Linked DNA regions of Drosophila melanogaster. The protein of the gene in region 3 interacts with the protein of the main gene of each other region in a pairwise test. Each region holds a gene or a part of one and is shown on either strand. Other genes may lie near its edges. The genes, in order: Tsp42Eb, CG30160 and CG4712.

Region 1 (3,506 bases), 6.3 Mb from region 3:
TGCAGAAGGACAAGTACCTGGAGATCATGGGCGACGTGGTCGAGAAGGCCTGGAACCATCGCACCAGTCGTTCCGACTACATGGACGCGATTCAGATCAGCGTAAGTATTTAGGGACTTCCAAGGACATGTGACCCGCCTTCAACTGACTTTCTGCCGCTCCCGCAGATGAAATGCTGCGGACGCAGTGGCTACACCGACTACGCCTACCAGGGCAAGTTCCCTCCCTCCTGCTGCAGCGACACCAACAACTGCCGCTGGGAGACCGTCTACCGGCGGGGATGCAAGGTCACCTTCGTTGAGTTCTGGGACAGGAACAGCGACATCATCAAGTATGCCGGTCTGGTCATCGCCGCCATCGAAGTAAGTTATTGTCCAGAGTAACGCAATCGAACGAAATCGATCATCGAATCTAGGTGCTTCCCCATGTGAATTTCGAAAATATGATGGATGGGTTCATGTTACCTACCTTCCATTGTGATTTCTTGGGGATAACCAAAAAGTACTAAGTAATGTAAATCATAATTCGTAGCAATGCAGTTTAGTTTGTTATTTTACCATAAGCGTTATGAGATTTACACCTACATGTATATTCTTCCAATATACCATACTCTGTTTGCTTTCAGTTTGTGGGATTCGTTTTCGCCTGTTGCTTGGCGAACAGCATTCGGAACTATAGACGCCGTGCGGAATATTAATCGACAAAGGACTAAGGCCTTGCACTAATTTTAATTGAAACCGAAAGTACGAATTATGTTGCCCAATTTTACGAATATTTACCTGATACAGATGGCCATTCAAATTTGCATAATCTCAAGCGTAAGCAGCAAATGCAGCAAATCCAATGACGAATGCGTAACGATCACTTTTGTAAGATCGTTTGTTCAAAGTTACACTGAATGTGCTAATATGTTTAACTGTACAAAATAACTTATACTCCTGGAGATTGCAATAAACGGAGAAATTTATTTACAATTTACGAAAAGAGTTCAGTCTTTGTCTTAATGGGAAAGCTTACATTGTTTGCAATTCGACTTAATCCCTAAAGCACCTATTTTTCTAAATTGCCACGGGAGGATTTCGGCCATTCGCGATAACGTTTTAATCTGCAAAGTAATAAGTATAAATAGAGTTGGCCGAAACCAACAAGTACACTTTGATTACAGATCATTATCAATCATTGGCTCTATTGACATATTTCCGTAGAACTAACCTATCAGAAGACTATATTTAGTTAGTTAGCTTTTTAGGGCTCAGACGAAATCTTATCTCCATTGAGCTATTTTATCTATGAAGGGCACATAGCCGTTTTGTGAATGTCAATGGGAAATTATTCCGCCGTGGAAACCCCAATAGTTGCCAAAATCTTGTTGAAGTTAGGCTGGGAGTGCACTCGCTAAAAGGTTTATTGCTCGATTGATAGTACATAAATCTAGGCGATAAGATCGGGGACTCACGGGGAAACGGACTCCAAGCAACGTAATATGTGAGTCAGCGTGCACCGCGTACTCTTGACTGGTGATAAGGCAAGGTGTGGAGGGTGTGAATGATTCATCTTATGAACGATCTAACGCCCCCAAGATGGAATCGCACGAGGGCTAGATAAAATTCCGCCACCAGCAGTTTGCACCTACCATTCGTTGAATGAATCATTGCGCCAAGGATGTAATTTCCCAGGTTCGGACCACCACAATGATCTGGTATCTCGTGGGTGCAAAGCGATTCACCAAGTACAAGTACATGGGCATCGGAGCTTCCAGCACAAGTACATACGGAATTTTATGGCCGAGATAAGAGCGCAGCCGATAAGATGAGGACTCCGAGTAAGCTTTAATAGCCGCGTTCTGTCCGAGGGCCCATTCAGTTAGACGAACATCGTCACATCGAACGAACGGATTATCCAGCTAGCCAACGAGAAACCCGAACAGAACCCAGCACCATGAACTGTCTATCCGCGATGTTCAAGTACCTGCTGTACTTGCTCAACCTGGTGTTCGTGGCCGGTGGCATCCTGCTCATTGTGGTGGGCTCCATCATGCTCTCCACGATGGGCAACTTTACGGCCTTCGACGGAGGCGTTAACACCCAGACCATCCCGATCTGCATTATCGTCATCGGAAGTGTCACCTTCGTAGTGGCCTTCTTCGGATGCTGCGGCACCATTCGCGAGAACGCCTGCTGCACCACCATCGTAAGCACTCGGAAATCACCCACTGACCGAAATTGGATTCTAAATGACTTGGCATTCCTTTCAGTACGCCATCTGCATGCTGATTCTGTTCGGCCTGCAACTGGCCCTCTCCATCTGGATCTTCGCGGCCAACGACAAGTTCCTGTCCAGCATGGGCAAGGCAGTGGACAAGGCGTGGGATGAGAACAATGCCGCCCAGGGATACCCCATGGATGCCCTCCAGTTGGCCGTAAGTTTATCGAAATTCACCATCAGATGTCATTAGTTTTTTCCGGATATTTACGTATCTATTCCATTGCAGTTCTCTTGCTGTGGCAACACGGGATACCAACAGTATGAAACCGTGCCCAGCTCCTGCTGCGGCTACAAGGATCGCACCAAGGTGTGCGAAGCGGAGATCTACAGCCAGCGACCTGGCTGCCGGCAGGAGTTCGTCGATTTCTGGGCCTCCAATACGGACCTGATTCGATGGAGCAGTCTGATCATCGCCCTCTTCGAGCTGGGCATCTTCATCATGTCGTGCTGCCTGGCCAGCGCGATGAGGAAGCGCTAGAGCCGAAGTCAGATACAATCCTTAGACGTAGCCCAGTTCATAGCATAAATCCAACACACGAATTCCTCACTCACTCACTCACCGTAAATAAACCAGAATAGGTTAAGCCCAATGAAATATTATTGCTTATTCGCTGTCTACCTCTGGCTGCCGTCTATCTAATCAAGACAGGTTGATGTTTTTCCAAAAAGTATGTCCTTATCGGCCTGTTAGCCGAGTGCCGCGTTTCCGAGATCGAATGCCCTCAGTAGTGGTGAATCACCTCCATATGGCAATGGCTATCGATCTCCGCCCGCCGCCCAGTGCCCATTATCTATTTTTCGTTTCGGCCATGATTATGATAACAGGCACTTGCGTATCTTTCCTCCGATAGCGCCCGTGTCTGTTGGCCAATTTAAAAACAGTAGCCCATCTGGAGGAGCAGTCCAATCGAACGACAGTAAACGACGCGAGTGCGCGATAAAATCAGAGACACCGACAACTCCTTTGGATAAAACAATAGTGTTTATTTAATTCTACTAAATACAGGAGCAAACTATATACTTTCAAAATGGGTTGTCTATCGGGAATAGTCAACTTTATTTTATATATTGTCAATATCGTGTTTTTGGTAAGTGCTTGTCGGTTGAGTATCTAAGTAAAAGGAATTAATAATGTAATGAGACGTGTAACAATAGACCAAACACTACTGGGTGCAGATCCCAAATAGGTTCCAATTATGGATAACTTCATACTCTCCAATTACTTGTGTTATAATGAACTT
Region 2 (3,152 bases), 6.2 Mb from region 3:
CCGCTGGGAGACCGTCTACCGGCGGGGATGCAAGGTCACCTTCGTTGAGTTCTGGGACAGGAACAGCGACATCATCAAGTATGCCGGTCTGGTCATCGCCGCCATCGAAGTAAGTTATTGTCCAGAGTAACGCAATCGAACGAAATCGATCATCGAATCTAGGTGCTTCCCCATGTGAATTTCGAAAATATGATGGATGGGTTCATGTTACCTACCTTCCATTGTGATTTCTTGGGGATAACCAAAAAGTACTAAGTAATGTAAATCATAATTCGTAGCAATGCAGTTTAGTTTGTTATTTTACCATAAGCGTTATGAGATTTACACCTACATGTATATCTTCCAATATACCATACTCTGTTTGCTTTCAGTTTGTGGGATTCGTTTTCGCCTGTTGCTTGGCGAACAGCATTCGGAACTATAGACGCCGTGCGGAATATTAATCGACAAAGGACTAAGGCCTTGCACTAATTTTAATTGAAACCGAAAGTACGAATTATGTTGCCCAATTTTACGAATATTTACCTGATACAGATGGCCATTCAAATTTGCATAATCTCAAGCGTAAGCAGCAAATGCAGCAAATCCAATGACGAATGCGTAACGATCACTTTTGTAAGATCGTTTGTTCAAAGTTACACTGAATGTGCTAATATGTTTAACTGTACAAAATAACTTATACTCCTGGAGATTGCAATAAACGGAGAAATTTATTTACAATTTACGAAAAGAGTTCAGTCTTTGTCTTAATGGGAAAGCTTACATTGTTTGCAATTCGACTTAATCCCTAAAGCACCTATTTTTCTAAATTGCCACGGGAGGATTTCGGCCATTCGCGATAACGTTTTAATCTGCAAAGTAATAAGTATAAATAGAGTTGGCCGAAACCAACAAGTACACTTTGATTACAGATCATTATCAATCATTGGCTCTATTGACATATTTCCGTAGAACTAACCTATCAGAAGACTATATTTAGTTAGTTAGCTTTTTAGGGCTCAGACGAAATCTTATCTCCATTGAGCTATTTTATCTATGAAGGGCACATAGCCGTTTTGTGAATGTCAATGGGAAATTATTCCGCCGTGGAAACCCCAATAGTTGCCAAAATCTTGTTGAAGTTAGGCTGGGAGTGCACTCGCTAAAAGGTTTATTGCTCGATTGATAGTACATAAATCTAGGCGATAAGATCGGGGACTCACGGGGAAACGGACTCCAAGCAACGTAATATGTGAGTCAGCGTGCACCGCGTACTCTTGACTGGTGATAAGGCAAGGTGTGGAGGGTGTGAATGATTCATCTTATGAACGATCTAACGCCCCCAAGATGGAATCGCACGAGGGCTAGATAAAATTCCGCCACCAGCAGTTTGCACCTACCATTCGTTGAATGAATCATTGCGCCAAGGATGTAATTTCCCAGGTTCGGACCACCACAATGATCTGGTATCTCGTGGGTGCAAAGCGATTCACCAAGTACAAGTACATGGGCATCGGAGCTTCCAGCACAAGTACATACGGAATTTTATGGCCGAGATAAGAGCGCAGCCGATAAGATGAGGACTCCGAGTAAGCTTTAATAGCCGCGTTCTGTCCGAGGGCCCATTCAGTTAGACGAACATCGTCACATCGAACGAACGGATTATCCAGCTAGCCAACGAGAAACCCGAACAGAACCCAGCACCATGAACTGTCTATCCGCGATGTTCAAGTACCTGCTGTACTTGCTCAACCTGGTGTTCGTGGCCGGTGGCATCCTGCTCATTGTGGTGGGCTCCATCATGCTCTCCACGATGGGCAACTTTACGGCCTTCGACGGAGGCGTTAACACCCAGACCATCCCGATCTGCATTATCGTCATCGGAAGTGTCACCTTCGTAGTGGCCTTCTTCGGATGCTGCGGCACCATTCGCGAGAACGCCTGCTGCACCACCATCGTAAGCACTCGGAAATCACCCACTGACCGAAATTGGATTCTAAATGACTTGGCATTCCTTTCAGTACGCCATCTGCATGCTGATTCTGTTCGGCCTGCAACTGGCCCTCTCCATCTGGATCTTCGCGGCCAACGACAAGTTCCTGTCCAGCATGGGCAAGGCAGTGGACAAGGCGTGGGATGAGAACAATGCCGCCCAGGGATACCCCATGGATGCCCTCCAGTTGGCCGTAAGTTTATCGAAATTCACCATCAGATGTCATTAGTTTTTTCCGGATATTTACGTATCTATTCCATTGCAGTTCTCTTGCTGTGGCAACACGGGATACCAACAGTATGAAACCGTGCCCAGCTCCTGCTGCGGCTACAAGGATCGCACCAAGGTGTGCGAAGCGGAGATCTACAGCCAGCGACCTGGCTGCCGGCAGGAGTTCGTCGATTTCTGGGCCTCCAATACGGACCTGATTCGATGGAGCAGTCTGATCATCGCCCTCTTCGAGCTGGGCATCTTCATCATGTCGTGCTGCCTGGCCAGCGCGATGAGGAAGCGCTAGAGCCGAAGTCAGATACAATCCTTAGACGTAGCCCAGTTCATAGCATAAATCCAACACACGAATTCCTCACTCACTCACTCACCGTAAATAAACCAGAATAGGTTAAGCCCAATGAAATATTATTGCTTATTCGCTGTCTACCTCTGGCTGCCGTCTATCTAATCAAGACAGGTTGATGTTTTTCCAAAAAGTATGTCCTTATCGGCCTGTTAGCCGAGTGCCGCGTTTCCGAGATCGAATGCCCTCAGTAGTGGTGAATCACCTCCATATGGCAATGGCTATCGATCTCCGCCCGCCGCCCAGTGCCCATTATCTATTTTTCGTTTCGGCCATGATTATGATAACAGGCACTTGCGTATCTTTCCTCCGATAGCGCCCGTGTCTGTTGGCCAATTTAAAAACAGTAGCCCATCTGGAGGAGCAGTCCAATCGAACGACAGTAAACGACGCGAGTGCGCGATAAAATCAGAGACACCGACAACTCCTTTGGATAAAACAATAGTGTTTATTTAATTCTACTAAATACAGGAGCAAACTATATACTTTCAAAATGGGTTGTCTATCGGGAATAGTCAACTTTATTTTATATATTGTCAATATCGTGTTTTTGGTAAGTGCTTGTCGGTTGAGTATCTAAGTAAAAGGAATTAATAATGTAATGAG
Region 3 (5,128 bases):
GGTGATAAGCGTCCAGCAAGATCATGGCTTCTTTGCGGATCCAACGTCGAACATGGACTCCGGTTCCAGCTCGTCGTCGGAATCGATTGGAGACGTGGACAAAGAGCAACAGGCTGAGGAGGCGGCTCCAGAAAGTGAGGTCGACTCTTTCGATGTCTCCGACATACCGGAATTCGATGAAATTCCAGTCGTAAAAAGAGTGGAACAAAACCAAGATTCTATCGATGCATTCAGCACATTGTCAAAGGTTGCCTTTGCAGTTCCCGAGGTCCGAGACGATCCAGTCATTTCGCATGCTCTCGAGATCAAGGCGGTAGTCCGTGAACTACTGTACGACCTTTTCGAGGAGACGGCTAGTTTATCGGACATCCACAACAAGGACAATAAAATTCGGGCGAAATTGGACAAGAATAAGCTATTGACCGAGCTTGATAAAGTCATCACTACATATTTGTATGAGAAGTACACCAACGAAATGGTGGGCAATCGACTTGTGGAATATTATAAACGCAATCGCAATGCCCGTGTCTTCGCCACACTCTCGCCGGAAAATGAAAAACGATTCCACTCCCGATACATGCATGCCCTGGCCCTGCTTGACAGTCTGAAGTATCGACTGGATGTGGCCAAGCACAAGCACGCCATCCAGATGAACAGAGTGATCCTGGATCTCCACTCCGCCCAGAGTGTCGCCTCGATCACTGAGGAACGCTTGGAGCACCTGTTCCGGGAACACCTGGTCCGGCCCGAATCGGATAATCTGCGACGTTTAGTTGATCGCGAACTGAGAATGATGACAGCCAAGCGGAACGAGATCAGCGACTCCAGACTGTTTCTCATCACAAGAAAGCACACCTTAGGTCGCATTATGGGGGTAAGTCTGCCGTGGACTGCGAATTCCGCAGCAGTTTTTAACAAATTAACATTATTCTTCTGTGACTTGAGCAGAAAATCAAGGAACTTGACACACTGAGTGAGACCTTGAGTATCGAAGATTTCTTGTCCGTGCAAAATAATGTGTTTGCCCTGCAAAAGAAAATCGAGGGTGAGCACCATTATTGCCTAAAAAAAATACATGGGCTAATGAACAAATTTCCCGCAGAACGCAATACCGATCTGAAGAGGATGCGAACCCAGTTCCTCATGGACGTTCATCTCACGCGACACAATCGAGAAAAGGCGCTGGCTCTGGCGGAAAATTTTGAGCTAAGTAAAATCCGGTTGAAGAATGCCATGAAAAATCAGACAGACCTGCGTAGACGTCTCTACGAAGTGAAATTGGAGCGGAAGAAGATGCGTCAGCAGTCAAGGGATATGACCTTCCACGGCGGCATCCTGGCGATGCCCTCGCTGATGTACGACTACGACAACACTGTGGAGCGATTGAAGGAGAAGCGGGAAACGGTGGCCAAGCTCAGGGAAACCCTAAAGTCACTCCAACGTCGGCTCAGCTATGTAGAGGGAAGAAGTATATAGAGTTGTAAGAATCCACAAATCAATAAAACAGTACAATTTATAATAAAATCGTTTGGCTGCTTTTACTGTGACAATAAGTTGTAAATGGATTGAAAGAGCAATACTTGTACACCACTATAGTGTACCCTTCACAACATCTGTCTCGATGAAAAAACTGTCAAAAAAAGCATAGGGCCAGATACATAACAAATGTACACGAGTACACAACAACTCTATACATAAACACTAAAAATATAATAAAAAACAAAAAAAACAGCAAAAGCACATTAAAACAAATATAAAAAATACAAATACTTAAGATCGTATGCAAAAACGAAATAAGTAGTGAAGTAAATATATACATACACGATGGAAACGGAGAATAATGAAGAACCTCAGATTGATTTGTTGGAGGAAAACGAAGCGGTACGAAGCTTGGCTGATGAAGTTCTCTCGAGATTTTCAGGCGATAGTAAAAAGTCTGTTTCGGTGAATATTTCAATGGTTTCTATGTCATCAAATGAAAACAGTGAAGAAAGACTGAAAATCATTAGAAAGGAGGAAAGAAAATTGGCAATAAAGGACATCATGAATCGACTAAAGGAGCGTGACGCGGAGGAGATGAAAATGAAGAAGTCCGGCGAACAGGAGGGGGACCAAAGGGAAGACGAAATGGCCAGCAAGTCACAAGACAGTATTCAACGGCACATGTCCATTTCACAAGTGGAGGAGCAGGACGATGAAACATTGCTGTGGACCAAGCTGGGTGAGGATATCGACAGTGACAACAGAAGAACCACGGATATTGCTCCCGCAGCAGACACTTTGGACGCAGTTAATGCCGAGGACGAAGACATGCTCGATCTCATCGAAACCCCATCGGAATCTGATTCAGAAGCACCAGTGACCGAGAGGTCCAAGAGCATAGATCCCATGAAAGTGGCCGTTAAATCTTTAATGCTGGTGCCCAGTCTGTCGGATATTTCGCTGCCAAGTGCGCCGCCCACGTCAAGAAAGTCTTCCCATTCTATTAAATCGAACAGATCATTAATTTTTAAAAGTTCCCCAACCGATGGCAATTCAAGCTTCGATACCGAAGAGTCGGAAGAAGAATCCACCATTGGCCCCATTGATCCGCGTACTCCAATGGATCAATTGTACGACTCACTATCGATTTGCGAGTCTTTGGCACCCATAAAAGACGAATTTTCAAGAACAACAGCTTTGGAAAAAGAAAGAAATGATTACATGGGCTTTGAACAGTTGTTTACAGTAACAACGGAACACCTTGAAACGGACGAAATCGATGTGGCAGCCCAACTGAGGACTATAGAGACAAGCCAGGTTATTTCTGAATTTATAAACCATTTGATACATAAGGTAGTCATGCCAGAGCATCGGGGTACTGAGGAATATATTCGGGTGCGACTGGACAAAGAAAAGCTGCTGGTCGCTCTGCAGAATGAGGTGCATGATTACACAAGTGTAAGGGATCATAACAAACAGCTGGAGGAGCGAATGGTAGATTACTTCCGACGCACGAAAAACTTCCGATACTTTGACCGCCTAACGCCGAACGCCGAGTCAACCTACTCCCGTCGCCTTGATCACGCCCTGACCTATCTGTCCTATGGTCAAGAGCGCCTCATCAGGGTAAGGGAGAAATATGGCATTCTAATGACCACTGCGTTTTTGGACCTCGCCAACGCCATGAACATCGTTCTCAGCACGGAGCATCATCTCGAGCAGACGTTAAAACGCATCCTGGTTCGTCCGGACGCCGAGACCGATTTCCTCAAGCGCCTGGTTGCCCGCGAACTCCGACTTATGGCCGACCATCGGAATCAAATTAGCGATGCCCGGCTGTTGCTCATGTCGCAGAAACACACCTTGGCCCGCATCTTAGAAGTAGGTATCCAGGATGTTGTCCAAAAAGTTGTCCACGATGTTGAACGCGTTGTTGAGAGATTTTCCGCCATGTTGTCCGCCATGTTATCCTCCGTATTTTTTGTAATGTCATTCGCCATTTTATATGCTATGTTACATGCTATATTATCCGCCATGTTGTCCGCCATTTTATCAGCCGTGTTGTCCTTCATGTTATTCGCCATGTTATCCGTCATATTACATTATATGTTAATCGCCGTGTTGTCTGCCAACTCATGTTACATGCTATGTTATCCGACATGTTATATGCTATGTTAGCAACCATGTTATCCGCCGGTTATGCTCATTCAAATTGTCACATAATGCTATTAAGTTATTCACAATATTTTACAACACATTGCTTCCCACTATCCAGCCATGTAGTTTTTCATTATATTTACTATCACCAATATTGTTTTCCAATTTTTCATATGTTTTCTAATTTGATTGTTTTACTTGTATCAACATACTTTTCTGAAACATCTCCATTTAGAAAATAAGAGATGTAGAAACGGTTTGCGACGGTGTGAGCTTGAATGACTTTATTTCCGTGCAAAACAAAACGATCGGCCTAGAAAAGAAGATTGAAGGTATAGTCCTATGAACATCTCTGCTTAAAATTTGTTCATTATTATATGCATAATAATCATCTCCATCAGAGCGAAATATTGAATTAAAAAGACAGCGCAGGCTCTACCACACCGAACTGCATATGACTAAGCACAATCGAGAGAAGTCCCACGAGCTTAAGAACAAAATTCACGTTCTTAAAGATAACCTGCTGGAAAAGCACAAGTTGAAAAATAAACTAAAATCCGAGCTGTGTCGCCGAAAACTGGAGCACAAGGCTATTAGGCGCCGGATGAGAGATTTGACATGCCAGGGTGGTATCCTGGCTATGCCCGCATTGATGTATGACTACGATCGAACTGTCGCCTATGTTCGTGAAAAGGAGAAAATGGTCTCGAGTCTCCGGGAAACCCTAAAATCACTTACCAATCAGCTGCAAAGTTTGATGTCACCTCGAAAAAAGAGCTCGATTATTTAATAGGGCTATTACCACTTTTCAACCAAATACATTTTTCCACAAAAATAATATAATATTTGTCGTTTATTAATGCTATAAACAATGGAAAATTCAAGACTTCCTAGTCGTAAGCTTATGCATCAATAATAACCCTGAAACGGTAGAGAAAATCTCTTAATGAACCATTATTAATATATATGTATATATATATATATATCCCCCACATTTTCAGTGTCAAGTTTGTTATTTATTTGCCTGCTTTTATTTATTCCATCCATATATATATGTTGAAGAAAACAACAAAACCAAGGGGAAATACCGTTTGGTTGTTCTCATTAATATTTCTAGCAACCAATTGTTGGAAATTTTCAAAATTCTAAATATACCGATTCGGAAATTGGCACGCTTTATTCTTAATCATCCTTTCTGAGCACTATTTGAGTCTAAAATATTGTACACACGACCTGAGTACACTTCAATTAGCCAAAACGAATGAGGAAAATATTTCATTTGCAGACTGCGTCATTTAAAACTAATAACAAATCCATGCTGAATATATTCTGCGTTCTAAGACATATTTTTTCAATAGATCTAACATACAATTAATACAAAATATTTCCAGATTCTTCCATTCCTGCTCTTTGCTTTCAGCATAATAAGCCAACAGAGATCAATTCCACCCACTGACAAACTATAATAAATCGAGAAATTAGAAAAGTG

What was found.
Region 1: the proteins of CG4712 (region 3) and Tsp42Eb interact in a two-hybrid assay, tested with the Drosophila melanogaster proteins (one large-scale study listed by BioGRID).
Region 2: the proteins of CG4712 (region 3) and CG30160 interact in a two-hybrid assay, tested with the Drosophila melanogaster proteins (one large-scale study listed by BioGRID).

Annotation. Positions count from the first base shown.
Region 1 is NT_033778.4:6,996,992-7,000,497, forward strand, and holds Tsp42Eb (tetraspanin 42Eb), read left to right. Parts: upstream 1-1,856; 5' UTR 1,857-1,938; coding exon 1,939-2,190; intron 2,191-2,254; coding exon 2,255-2,419; intron 2,420-2,491; coding exon 2,492-2,743; 3' UTR 2,744-2,857; downstream 2,858-3,506.
Region 2 is NT_033778.4:7,003,534-7,006,685, forward strand, and holds CG30160 (uncharacterized protein), read left to right. Parts: upstream 1-1,623; 5' UTR 1,624-1,684; coding exon 1,685-1,936; intron 1,937-2,000; coding exon 2,001-2,165; intron 2,166-2,237; coding exon 2,238-2,489; 3' UTR 2,490-2,603; downstream 2,604-3,152. Other genes in the region: Tsp42Ea (tetraspanin 42Ea), read left to right, coding at 1-109, 372-443; Tsp42Ec (tetraspanin 42Ec), read left to right, coding at 3,040-3,099.
Region 3 is NT_033778.4:13,248,244-13,253,371, reverse strand, and holds CG4712 (uncharacterized protein), read left to right. Parts: upstream 1-1,647; 5' UTR 1,648-1,824; coding exon 1,825-3,363; intron 3,364-3,874; coding exon 3,875-3,971; intron 3,972-4,040; coding exon 4,041-4,429; 3' UTR 4,430-4,478; downstream 4,479-5,128. Other genes in the region: CG4714 (uncharacterized protein), read left to right, coding at 1-874, 949-1,045, 1,103-1,476; Mp20 (muscle protein 20), read right to left, coding at 4,542-4,560.